3 linked regions of the Schizosaccharomyces pombe genome follow. The gene in region 2 interacts genetically with the main gene of each other region. Each region holds a gene or a part of one and is shown on either strand. Other genes may lie near its edges. The genes, in order: rds1, gst1 and rpl3801.

Region 1 (4,530 bases), on a different chromosome or scaffold from region 2:
ACTAATGTAATATTATTTATTGACTGTATATATATGCTCATTAGAAAAGGAAACTTTGATGCAAAAGCTGTGGACGTGGTAGTGAGACCATTTTAAGATACTTTAACGTTTTTCAACTTTCACTGTATTGAAAATTGAAACGAGCAAATTGGAATTTTTACAAAAACATTCCAATCACAACCGTCTCTTATATTTTTTTTTAAATTACATGCAATTGATTCAAACATGAAAGTTACAATGCTCCCTTTGCAATTGAATGACGAAATCAACTCTGCGAGTTTTGGACCAGCCTCCTCATCAACCAGCCACTCCTCCACCATCTTTTGCGTACACCATCGCGTCAGATATATATATGTACCAAGACACTGCTTACTCCGTTCATTGACTTACGCTACAACAAATTTTACCAAGTTTTCGAAATTTGTTTACTACTTAGCTATTACTTTACATACTTCACTTCTTACTAAGCTCATTTACTGCCACGCCGACTTATACGCACTACAATCAATCAAATACAAAAGACTACGAATAAATAATGGAATGTTGGATTCACCGAAAAGAGAATAAATATTAAAAGGAGGAATTCCCCCTTTATGTTTAAAGGTTTCCTAGTAGCCGACGGCTTCCAGGGGTTTAAAAGTCATAAAAAAATCATAAGACTGTTGGTCAAAGCTGGATTAGACGTACCAAACTTTTTGTATGTTGGTCACATATCCAAACCAAAAGAAGACAGGCCAATAGATAGAATCGTGAACGAGTATGATTTTTGATGAAATAAATCCATGGTAAGGCGAGTCTAATTATTAAGGCTCCAACCTAGCCACATATACAAACGAGCTCAATCAACTGAGTCAATCATCTACATGATGTGTACATGTGCAACTAAGGGAGTTTGCCTTGATAGAGACGCTTATCCGGACTCGTAAACAAGAGGACCAGCAACAACGTGCTCGTTGATGGCAGTGATGTTGAAGGGAGTGACGGGGATAGCTTCGTCAACGAGAACCAAGAAGTTGGTACCGTTAATGACTTGCTGGGTAGAGTCGTTGTAAAGGTGAGAGCTGGGTTGGTAGGTAACACCGCTGTTGTTGCCGGTGATGTTTAAGGGAGCGTAAGTAACGTTCAATTGGGAAATCCAAGCAGCATAACGAGGAGTTCCGGCAGAGGTGGAAGTGATGTAGGAGCTGTTAGGACCGACAGCCATACCGGGAGCATCCCAAGCCAATTCGACGCTTTGTCCGGGAAGAGAGAGAGGGAAGGTACGGTTGGTGGAGACAGCGGCGGGATACATGTAGGTACCGTTAGGGTACTGAGGGAAAGAGCCGTTGGTGAAATTAGTGTGAACAGGAGGGCTAACCAAATGTAAGGCAGGGAAGTTTTGCCAAACCAACTTTTCGTTTTCGGCAGGGCAGCCAACAATGAAAGGGGCAATCAAGGACCAAGCAAAGGATTGAGGAATGCCAGTTTCAAACCAGACGGGGTAAGGGAAGAGACCTTGTAATTGACGGAGAGACATTTGTTGACGAGCTTCAGTGGTGATGGATTGAAGCAAAAGAGCAGCTGCTGCGCGAGAGTCAAGGTGGGGAAGGAAACCATAGACACCGGATTCACTCCACTTAGTAAGGGTTTGAGCAAAGTCAATGAAGGAGCCCACAGTGTCAAAGTTGTACTGGTAAGAGCAAGCCTTGGGGGCGTTGGGGCCAAGCATGTTGGTGACAAGCTCGATGTGGCCGATTTCTTGTTGGGCCATGAAGCGAATCAAGTGACGGTACTCGGCGTCAATGCCGGCCTCGTCAAACTCGGCATCAGAGAATTTAGTGAGACCGTAGTTGAAGAGGTCGTACTCGATGTACTCGTGGTATAGAGCGAGAGACAAGGACTGGTAGTCAAAGTCACTGAAAGGGTGATAAGTAGGGCTGCTATCATTAGTATCGATGCCGCCAGCAGGAGTAAAGTTAGCAGGCATGATAGATTGATTAAAGGAACCAGTAGCAGTGTAGTTGTATTCGTAAGCGGCACCGCCAATACCAGCAAAGTTAACTGGATCGGCCTTAGCACCGATGATACCGCGCGCCAAGAGAGCGCCGGCCATTAAAGAAGCAGTAAGAGCTTGAACCATTGTATAGATTTATAGATATACAAAAAAAGAGGCGATAGTGTTTTATTAAGGTAAGGTAGAATCAACTAGGTTTTCCACACGCACCGACACGAAAAGAAATTAAAAATATAAAAAGAAGCGACGAACGAGGTCTTTTTCAAAATAGCAATCCAACCAAAAAAAACTACAACTAACAAACGTGGTAGTAGTAGTAGTATTAGGAGTAGAGTAGCAGGGAAGCACAGAGAGAGAGAGAGAGAGAGGTAGGCTTGATATTTCACAAGACAAGCTCGTTTATTTTTTCTTACTTACTTAAACAAGGGCAAAACAAAGTCACACAATTTGCGACGGCTAAAGTAAGGCTAGTGAATGCGATCTATATATACCACGAGAATAAAGACGGAAGTACCATGTCATAGGCTCAAGCTTGGAACGTATATCGGTCTCAGCTTGACGTGTGACTTGGTACTATATCATCGCTTCCAACCCTTACGTTTTCCCAAGCATAGGGATTTACAAGCCGAGAGCGCCATGCATGCGAAATTCGCACGATGATGTTGCGATGAAGAAAATGACGAGGAGCCAGAGTATTCGAGCAAAGAAAAATCAGTGGCATTCATCGCATGATGATTTTGACGAAAATAAAATCGAAAGAAATATGCCATGCGCACGCACGCACATTTATTTATCAAACCTCTGCATGTCGACGCGACGAAAAGTCTAGCTGGCCATCGCCGATGCCGATGTTAATAGAATGTCGCATCCATTTCATCATCGCACGTGAAGGAGCAAGGCGAAGAAAGCACCGTAAGAAAGATAGCGAGAAGCTCATCGTAAAGTGAAAGAAGGGAAAAAAGAATAGCGGGGCGTAAAAGAAGGATACGCCGATGCGTTTGATCTACGGTAAAAAAAAACGTGAAGCAAACGTGAGCCGAGTGGAGGAGGAGCATGGAGGGGGGAGGGGAGGGAAGGGAGCAAGTTAGAGGTAGAGTAGAGTAGAGTAGAGGAGCAGTACCCGGGACATGGGGAAGATTTGAGAGATAGAAAAAAGACAGAGGGAGCACCTTTTGAGTAAAAAGTTAAATGAGACTTTGAGGGAAAAGAATAGGAAAAAGATGCTGTGGACAAAAAAAAATTAAATAAAAGAAAAAGAGAAGGATGATTTTTAATGAAATAGAATGTAATGTAATACAAAAGTTTGGTAGGATAGTAATTGAAATGATTTAAAAAAAATTCAAAAAAAAAAAAAACCAAACCTCCGGAGAAAATAAAAAACAGTTTAGTTAGCACATTGTAGCTAACCATATCTATCTATTCGATTGGTGATTGATTCTATAATCGATTCAGTCAAACAATTAATTTACTTAAAGTATTTGATTTTTTGAATTAGTTGATAACTTGATTATTTGATTTGATTAGACTAGACTGTTTGATATTTTTTTTTTGAATTTTTGACTGAATCGACTTTATTAACTCATTCAAACTTTATTGATTTAATCGTTCTGTCGACCATTGATTGTTTGCATGATTGTATAAAGGCGCGGCCTTTTTCCCCGGCATAGCTAGTCTTATCGCAACCATCCATCGACTCGTCAATAAGCTTGACCATCTTTTCGTCAGACTTACGGAACGATCAAGCATTGCATTGTATTGCATTTGCGGGAAGTATGTTACAGCTGCCGTGTTTCGGGGCGGGGGCAGAAAAATTCAAATAAAAAATAATATAAAATAATAGAAAATAAATAAATAAATAAATTAATAAAAAAAAAATCCAATAAATTAGAATAAGTATATAGGAAATAAAACTTGAAAAAAAAGAAAAGAAAAATAAGCAAAAGCATAGAGAAAAAAAAAAGGCGTACTGTAATGAAACATAAAAATTCTAAAAGAAACTCCAATGTAATAAAATAAAATCAATTCAATAAATTTTAATAGATTTCCTTCTCATCCATTTCTTCCTCGTAACCCAAACACACCGTATTACTATGCCCTTCACTATTGCTCATCTCTGTTCACCTCTTATTCAACTCTTGCATATACTTAAACTTAACACCTTCTCGCCCTGCTTCTCCTTCTCCTTCTACCTCTCCTGAAAATTTTCATTCCTCTCTGGTTGGTCCCCTCTGCTGGGTTTCTCTTTGCCGTTTACCCTATTCCAGCTACAGGGAAGCTTTGCGCAAAGCGTTGGGAAGGTGAATCTTCTCGGCAAACTCGTTTTTTCTTGGTGGAAGTACCACCCTGTCCTTCACTGCATTACGTTATTGTGGTCTCGTTCTGGAAAAGTATAAATAGATATATATGTGCGGGAAGGAGAGACGTGGGGAGGGAAAACAAGGTAAAAAAAAAAGAAAAATATAATAATAATAATTAATAATAATAAATAAAATCTGTAAATTTTTTTATGATATTTTGTAACTAATTGAAGGAAAAAA
Region 2 (3,526 bases):
ACAGCGACTGCTTATATTGATTTTCTCTTTGTTTTTTATATTAGGACCTTTCTAAATTCGATAATGAATCACTTCTTCATACCCTACATTATATTTGTGTTCATGAGTATTTGAATTCATCTTATTTACAATATTCAGAATAATTAAAATAAAAAATATAAGACAAGCCTGCCCAACATATAAAGAAAACAATATTTGATTATTATTTATTCGAGCTTTTGTTTTAGACATAATATTTATAATTTACTTAAAAATTTAATAAAATCATTGAACTTTTCTCAATAAATTGACGACATTATTTAAAAAAAAAAAATAAAAAAGGTCTTGTAGTATAAGAAAAATAAAAAGATAGTAACAATAAAAAAATAAAATAAAATTAGCGCCTCAAGTCATTTCGACATGATTACAGCTATCCCTTCTTTCATTTTATATTTTTTACTTTTGATGATTGGCTTTTCCAAACAATAAATACCAATTTTAGCAAGAGCAATACGATGGATGTTACATGGTCTGCTTTGTATATATTTTCGGAATGTATAGTAGAAAATCATAGTTTAAAGATGATATTATTGAAAGAGCACTTGAACAATTGATGTATGAAACGAAAAAGTTGAGTCTATATCTATATGCATAAAGGAAAGTAAACAATGCATGAATTTTGAAATATAAAGAATCAATCAATCAATTGAAATATTGGAACGTTATTATCAAGATAGACGCCACAAATTCACTTAATTATCCAAAGCCTTTGATCTTTCTTCGAAGGTAGCCTTGCTAGCAGGTCTGGCAAGAAGTCTTTGATGCCAGGAATAAGTTCTAGGAAACTCTTTTTCAAAGTCGAGCTGAGGCACTTCTTCCTCGATTGAAAACTTTCCTTCTGCAAAAATAATTTCAAGGAAGTTATTCCATGAAATGAATGATAAGTCAGCAATTGTGAACCGGTTGGCCACGAGATAATCACGGTCTTTAAGGATATCTTCGAGGACTCCTAGAACACGTTTGATTTCATTCCTATAACGGGTAATGGCAGATATGACTAGCTCCTGATGATAGACGCTAAACCATCCAGCCTGTCCCCAAATGATGCCTTGGCCAGAAGCTTGAAAAAATAAATATTGTATAACTTTGTAGTATTCAGGATGGTCACGAGGCAAAGATATCTTCCTTTCCGTATCATATTTGTCAGCTAAATAGATTAAAATGGCATCAGATTCCCAAATGGTATAATCGTTATTGTGGTGATCAATCAAGGTAGGTACTCTACCGTTAGGGTTTAAGGCTAAGTGTTCGGGGGATTTCTGCTCATTTTTTGAAAAATTCACATATCTGGTTTCATAGGTAAGGTCCAACTCCTTCAGCGCTTGAACCACCTTCCATGGATTAGGACCATGAGCATGCGACCATAAAGTGAATTGAGCCATGATACTTTATTTTGAGTGTGTTCTATTGTTAAATGAAAGGAGTTTGGCAATGGATTAAAATATAAAGAGCATCTTTACCATTTTATATACAATTCTTACTTCCATTGCGTATGCAATATTTATGAAAAATTTTGGAAAACACCCGAAATCGAGTTGATCAATTTCATCCAACTTACTAATCGATCATACATTAGACTCATACGTGGATTCAACTAAATTTTACTCGATTAGCTGACGACAAGCCGGAAGTTATGATTTATGTCAAAACGTGATCAAAGAAAGATAAATCTACTACCGATTCCATTTACTAATACATTTGAATCCTGTTAGCCGGTTACACGCTACATTTAATCAATCTTGTAATGCATCAAAATTTCATGTAAAATTTCTACCAACATATAGTGCGTGGGGACTGACTTCTCGTTTTGTTTAACTATGTATAATCCTTGTGGGAAATAAACGTATGCTTAGTGTTATATTTAATTTCTTAAAGGGTCGGCTTAATGCAATTCCAAATTCAAATGCAATTAAAACTGTTTCAGGTTCTTAAGACATGTAGTTTTCAGAATTTACGAGTCAGTTGAATAGACATCTTATGATAAAGTTAATATAAAAATAATAAAATAGTCTCAACCATACGCTCGAGATTTATTTTGTTCACCACCTGTTCAAAAACCAACGTGTCAAACTTGCTTTTAGACTACTGCACATATTAATTCAAACATGCTAGGGATTCACAATTGGATTTTCAACTGTAAAGATTAGTTATGACGGAGTTTTGTTTCTCACATATCAATTTAAAATTCTCTTCACTCTAATAATCTTATTTCGAAATCTACTTTATTTTTCATCATACAGTGAGTGTAATATGTTTAATTTCTGTAAGCGAATTGGTAATGATTCCCTATGAAAATTTTTTGTTTACATTTACTACCTTGACAATACGATACGTAAATTTTAAAGCTATTCAACATAACTGCAAACACGATGAGTAATTTTGCATTATAATCAGAAAAAGAGCAATGGAAACCAAAAAGCATACACCAACTTGATCAGAGTAAAGCAAGTACATGAACCAATACATGTTTATATCCGTTAAATACTATTTTTTTTCTTTTTAAAAGTATATAAAAATAACCTTTTTTGGATTATTCAATAAACGTCCAGCTTTTACGTCTTTCATTAATTGATTGAACTTTTAAAGTCGAAACCCGATAAATACAATCATGTCTAATAACGTTTATTCATCAAAAACTTTTATTCATTCAACAAGCTCAAAGCTCCATGTCCTTCAATTGACTATTCAATGTGATACATTGCAGCTTTTCCCATATTCTTACAACCCATCGGCTTAGTTTCAACGCATTTATCCAGGATCCTAGTCCGCGAAATCGAGATGCTTTGAAGATTAAAATTAAATTTAATTTTATGCGAGACTGGTTTCCTTATTTTTTGTATAGTCGCATGCAAGCGAGGTTCGCATAATTTGGAAAATAAAGGTAGTCAAGAAGACGTTGAATTAAGGCTGCAGTTTCAAAGTACTCTACAAACGATTCCTTTTAAAAAAAAAGATTCAAAAAAAAAGGCAAAGGGTTTAAGTAATGCTTGTTATTTCAATTTACCTCCAAACAGTTACTAATGCAATTGCAAAAAAAAAAACCTACCTATTGAATCAAAATTTCTAGCCCATCCATCGCTCCTCAAGATAAAGGAATCGATATTTTGAGTTTAAGGGAGTTGCTGATAGATTTCAGAATTAAAAATTTTTGGAAAAGGATGTCGAGAACAAGAAGATACGTCTAGATTGCTGATGATGCATTCTAGCAGACGGAAATACAACGATATGTGGACAGCACGACTTTTGATCCGTTCGGATCAAAAGGAAGAGAAATATCCATCTTTCAAGAAGAATGCAGGAAAAGCAATAAATGCCCATTTGATTCCTAAATTATCCCCAAAAATGAACATTATGAGATCTTCTTGTGGGAGACAGGAAATTTCGCAATTCCAAACGAAAATTCGGCTCTTTTTTTTACCCCACAGTTGCGGGGTAAATGATGTAACGGACCTTGGGGGAAAGGATGATGAGTTAGTTGGGAAGCGGA
Region 3 (2,934 bases), on a different chromosome or scaffold from region 2:
ACGTCGGTTAGTGGAATTACGGATGGAATTGCTGAAAAAGGACATTCATTTGCCAAAGTTTCATCTGCATCAGGTCTCACCGAGAAAACAAGTATTACTGAACAACTTGGTGGTCTTACTCAAGTAAAGCTGTTAAGCCAGTTATCTAGAGAAGAAAGCTTTGGTCCGTTAGTCGAAAAGCTTACAGCTATTCGTGAAATTTTACGAGGCACATCTGGTTTTAAAGCTGCTATAAACGCAAGCCCTACACAACATGAAGTTGTTGAAAAGGCGTTACAAAAATTTATGAAGTCACGGGGAGTCAATCAACAAACTCAGACCAAATCGACTTCCAAGGAACGAAATGGTATTAATTCTATTAAAACCTATCATGAATTACCTTTTCAAACCTATTTCGCTGCGAAGTCTTGTTTAGGCGTTCCATATACCCATCCAGATGGAGCACCGCTTCAAATTCTTTCATCGCTTTTGACACACAAATATCTGCATGGTGAAATTCGTGAGAAAGGAGGCGCATATGGGGCTGGTCTTTCTTACAGTGGTATAGATGGTGTACTGTCTTTCTTTACTTATCGGGATTCCGATCCAATACGTTCTTTATCAGTTTTTGACGAGGCATCTGAATGGGCAACCACTCACGAGTTTTCTCAGAGAGATATAGATGAAGCCAAACTAGCAGTATTTCAAGGAATTGATAGCCCGGTTAGTGAAAGCCAAAAAGGAATGCTTTACTTTGTCGATGGGGTTACAGACGAAATGCTTCAAAATAGGCGAAAGCAGCTACTAAATGTTTCAGCGAATGATTTGAAGGCCGTTGCCAAAAAATATTTGGTAAATCCAAAAAAGAGCTATACCGCTGTTCTTGGCCCCAAGTCAGAGAAGCAATTACCAACGTGGGTGATTGATAAGTTTGAAAGTTGATTATGATACTATTTATCCTTACTCGAAAAGCAATACGTATTTTTTTTTTTTTTTTTTTGTAAAATGATTTAATGATTTTAGTGAACGAAAGCAATAATTATTTTGACACTTGAAAGGCAATGTTTAAGCTTCGTTGGAATTTCTCATGAGTTTATTTAAAAGTCGTTTCCGTCGTGGAACAAAAAATTCGTATAGAAGCACGCTCATATAAATCAAACTTCCTCTATATGTAGTAGTTAGTATGCTTTATCTTTATAATTCACAAGAATGCTGCTATGTTGTTAATACTTTGTAGACAGACAGATAGAGCCTTGATCCACATTTGGATAGGATGAAAGCATTTTATTGTAAAAATCTATTTTTTCGCAATTGATGTAATATAGTTTTCAAAAACGAAGAGCATAAAGTCGTTTGATCCTAATAGAAAGATGTAAAAGATATAGCAAATGGATATGTAAATCTATTGAAAACATTTCTTTGTTGTTACACTTCATCTATCAATTTCCAAAAACATTATGCATGGAAAAATTAAAGTATTAACTATAGATTAAGATATAAATATTGACCATCTCTTATTCTATTTTTTTTTAATTTTATTATCACGTACACTTAGTATATACCTGAGCTAAGCAATTTAAAAAACGAACTTCAATCTAACGCCCATTCAAGCAGTATAGTGAAGGATAGTGTTAATCCCCTTGAGCGAATACCGGCTGATTAAGAGCTCGTAATTTCTTTTTAACGAGTTACAAACCATTCGAGTTGTAAAACACAGTCACAGAAATTTTGATAAACTGGAAAGAATGAATTCTTGGTCTTTCACCAAGCTCAACAAAATGGTAAGTGAGATAAGTAGAGGTTTCAGCAGCTTATGGAAGAGAAAACTGTTTTCATCTTTCGTTCGTTAAAGTTGTCTCTGTAAAATATATTCAGTGTTAGGAATGACCATCGACTAATGCATGTTTTAGCCTCGTCAAATCAGTGACATTAAGCAATTCTTGGAGATCGCTCGCAGAAAGGATGCTACTTCTGCCCGCATCAAGAAGAACACTAACAAGGACGTTAAGTTCAAGCTTCGTTGTTCCAAGTACTTGTATACCTTGGTTGTCGCTGACGCCAAGAAGGCTGAGAAGCTCCGTCAATCTCTTCCTCCCGGTATGTTATATAAACTACTAAGAAAGATTAACTCAGTTACTTTTTATTGAGGGAACTACATTTCCTTAAAGCATTTTGCGAAGGAATTCTTCCTAAAGCGTTGATAATTCGTGAAACAAATGATCAGCTCTGAGTTAATCGTTCATATAAGTGAACTCAAGCTAACAAGTTTTCTATAGATTTGACCGTTACTGAGGTTGGAAAGAAGGCATAAAGTTTCTGGTTGAGTGATTAATGAAAAAGAAACCTCTCATGGTTTTTGCATTCAGTTAAAAACAAAAATTTTCTTTTTCAAAAGTAAAATGATCAATAAAGATTGTATTCATATTATTTTGTAATGTAATGTAAAAATCGAAGAGTAGAAATCGGTGAAATTATCCAAGTTGTTCACGAATTTTATAAGCAGACCCAATTCGCGATTATAAAATAAAGGTCTGTATGTAAATAATTGTTGTTGCGAGATGAGAGGTATAATTAGCCATAGGGTTGTGTAGAAAACAATTTTTAATAAACCCTTTTAAAGTAGTTCGCTGCATGTAACACTTGCATAAAGTAAACAAGTAAATAACTTTAAGCGTTGTTGCATCGCTTATGAAGTCCTCATTAGTTCAAGCTCTACATGATCAAAATAAGCGTTGTACTTAACTTGAGAGAAGCCCAATTTCTTGAATAGCCGAATACTAGGCTTGTTTTGGGAGCCAACTTTGACTCGATACTTAAGGATTTGCTTATTTTTGGCAATTCCACTGGATTCAACATAGTGCAAAAATGCATCTACAATCTTGGTTCCATATCCTTTCCTTCTATTCTGAGGCTCTGCAATCATCAATTCAAGTTCACCTACTATATGTACCTCTG

What was found.
Region 1: mutations in gst1 (region 2) and rds1 together harm fitness less than expected from each alone (positive genetic interaction), as found in Schizosaccharomyces pombe (one large-scale study listed by BioGRID).
Region 3: mutations in gst1 (region 2) and rpl3801 together harm fitness more than expected from each alone (negative genetic interaction), as found in Schizosaccharomyces pombe (one large-scale study listed by BioGRID).

What each region holds. Positions count from the first base shown.
Region 1 is NC_003424.3:1,665,660-1,670,189, reverse strand, and holds rds1 (protein rds1), read right to left. Parts: upstream 2,452-4,530; 5' UTR 2,120-2,451; coding exon 911-2,119; 3' UTR 568-910; downstream 1-567. Other genes in the region: SPOM_SPAC343.20 (uncharacterized protein), read left to right, coding at 226-567; SPOM_SPAC343.21 (uncharacterized protein), read right to left, coding at 2,927-3,403. UniProt on the Schizosaccharomyces pombe protein: May have a function in stress-related responses of the cell.
Region 2 is NC_003421.2:1,718,594-1,722,119, forward strand, and holds gst1 (glutathione S-transferase Gst1), read right to left. Parts: upstream 1,478-3,526; 5' UTR 1,422-1,477; coding exon 732-1,421; 3' UTR 550-731; downstream 1-549. Other genes in the region: SPOM_SPCC191.10 (uncharacterized protein), read left to right, coding at 3,235-3,526. UniProt on the Schizosaccharomyces pombe protein: Involved in the oxidative stress response and detoxification.
Region 3 is NC_003423.3:752,895-755,828, forward strand, and holds rpl3801 (60S ribosomal protein eL38), read left to right. Parts: upstream 1-1,742; 5' UTR 1,743-1,757; coding exon 1,758-1,760; exon of another isoform or gene 1,761-1,889; coding exon 1,890-2,076; exon of another isoform or gene 2,077-2,255; coding exon 2,256-2,290; 3' UTR 2,291-2,406; downstream 2,407-2,934. Other genes in the region: cym1 (metalloendopeptidase), read left to right, coding at 1-921; SPOM_SPBC577.03C (GCN5-related N-acetyltransferase), read right to left, coding at 2,666-2,934.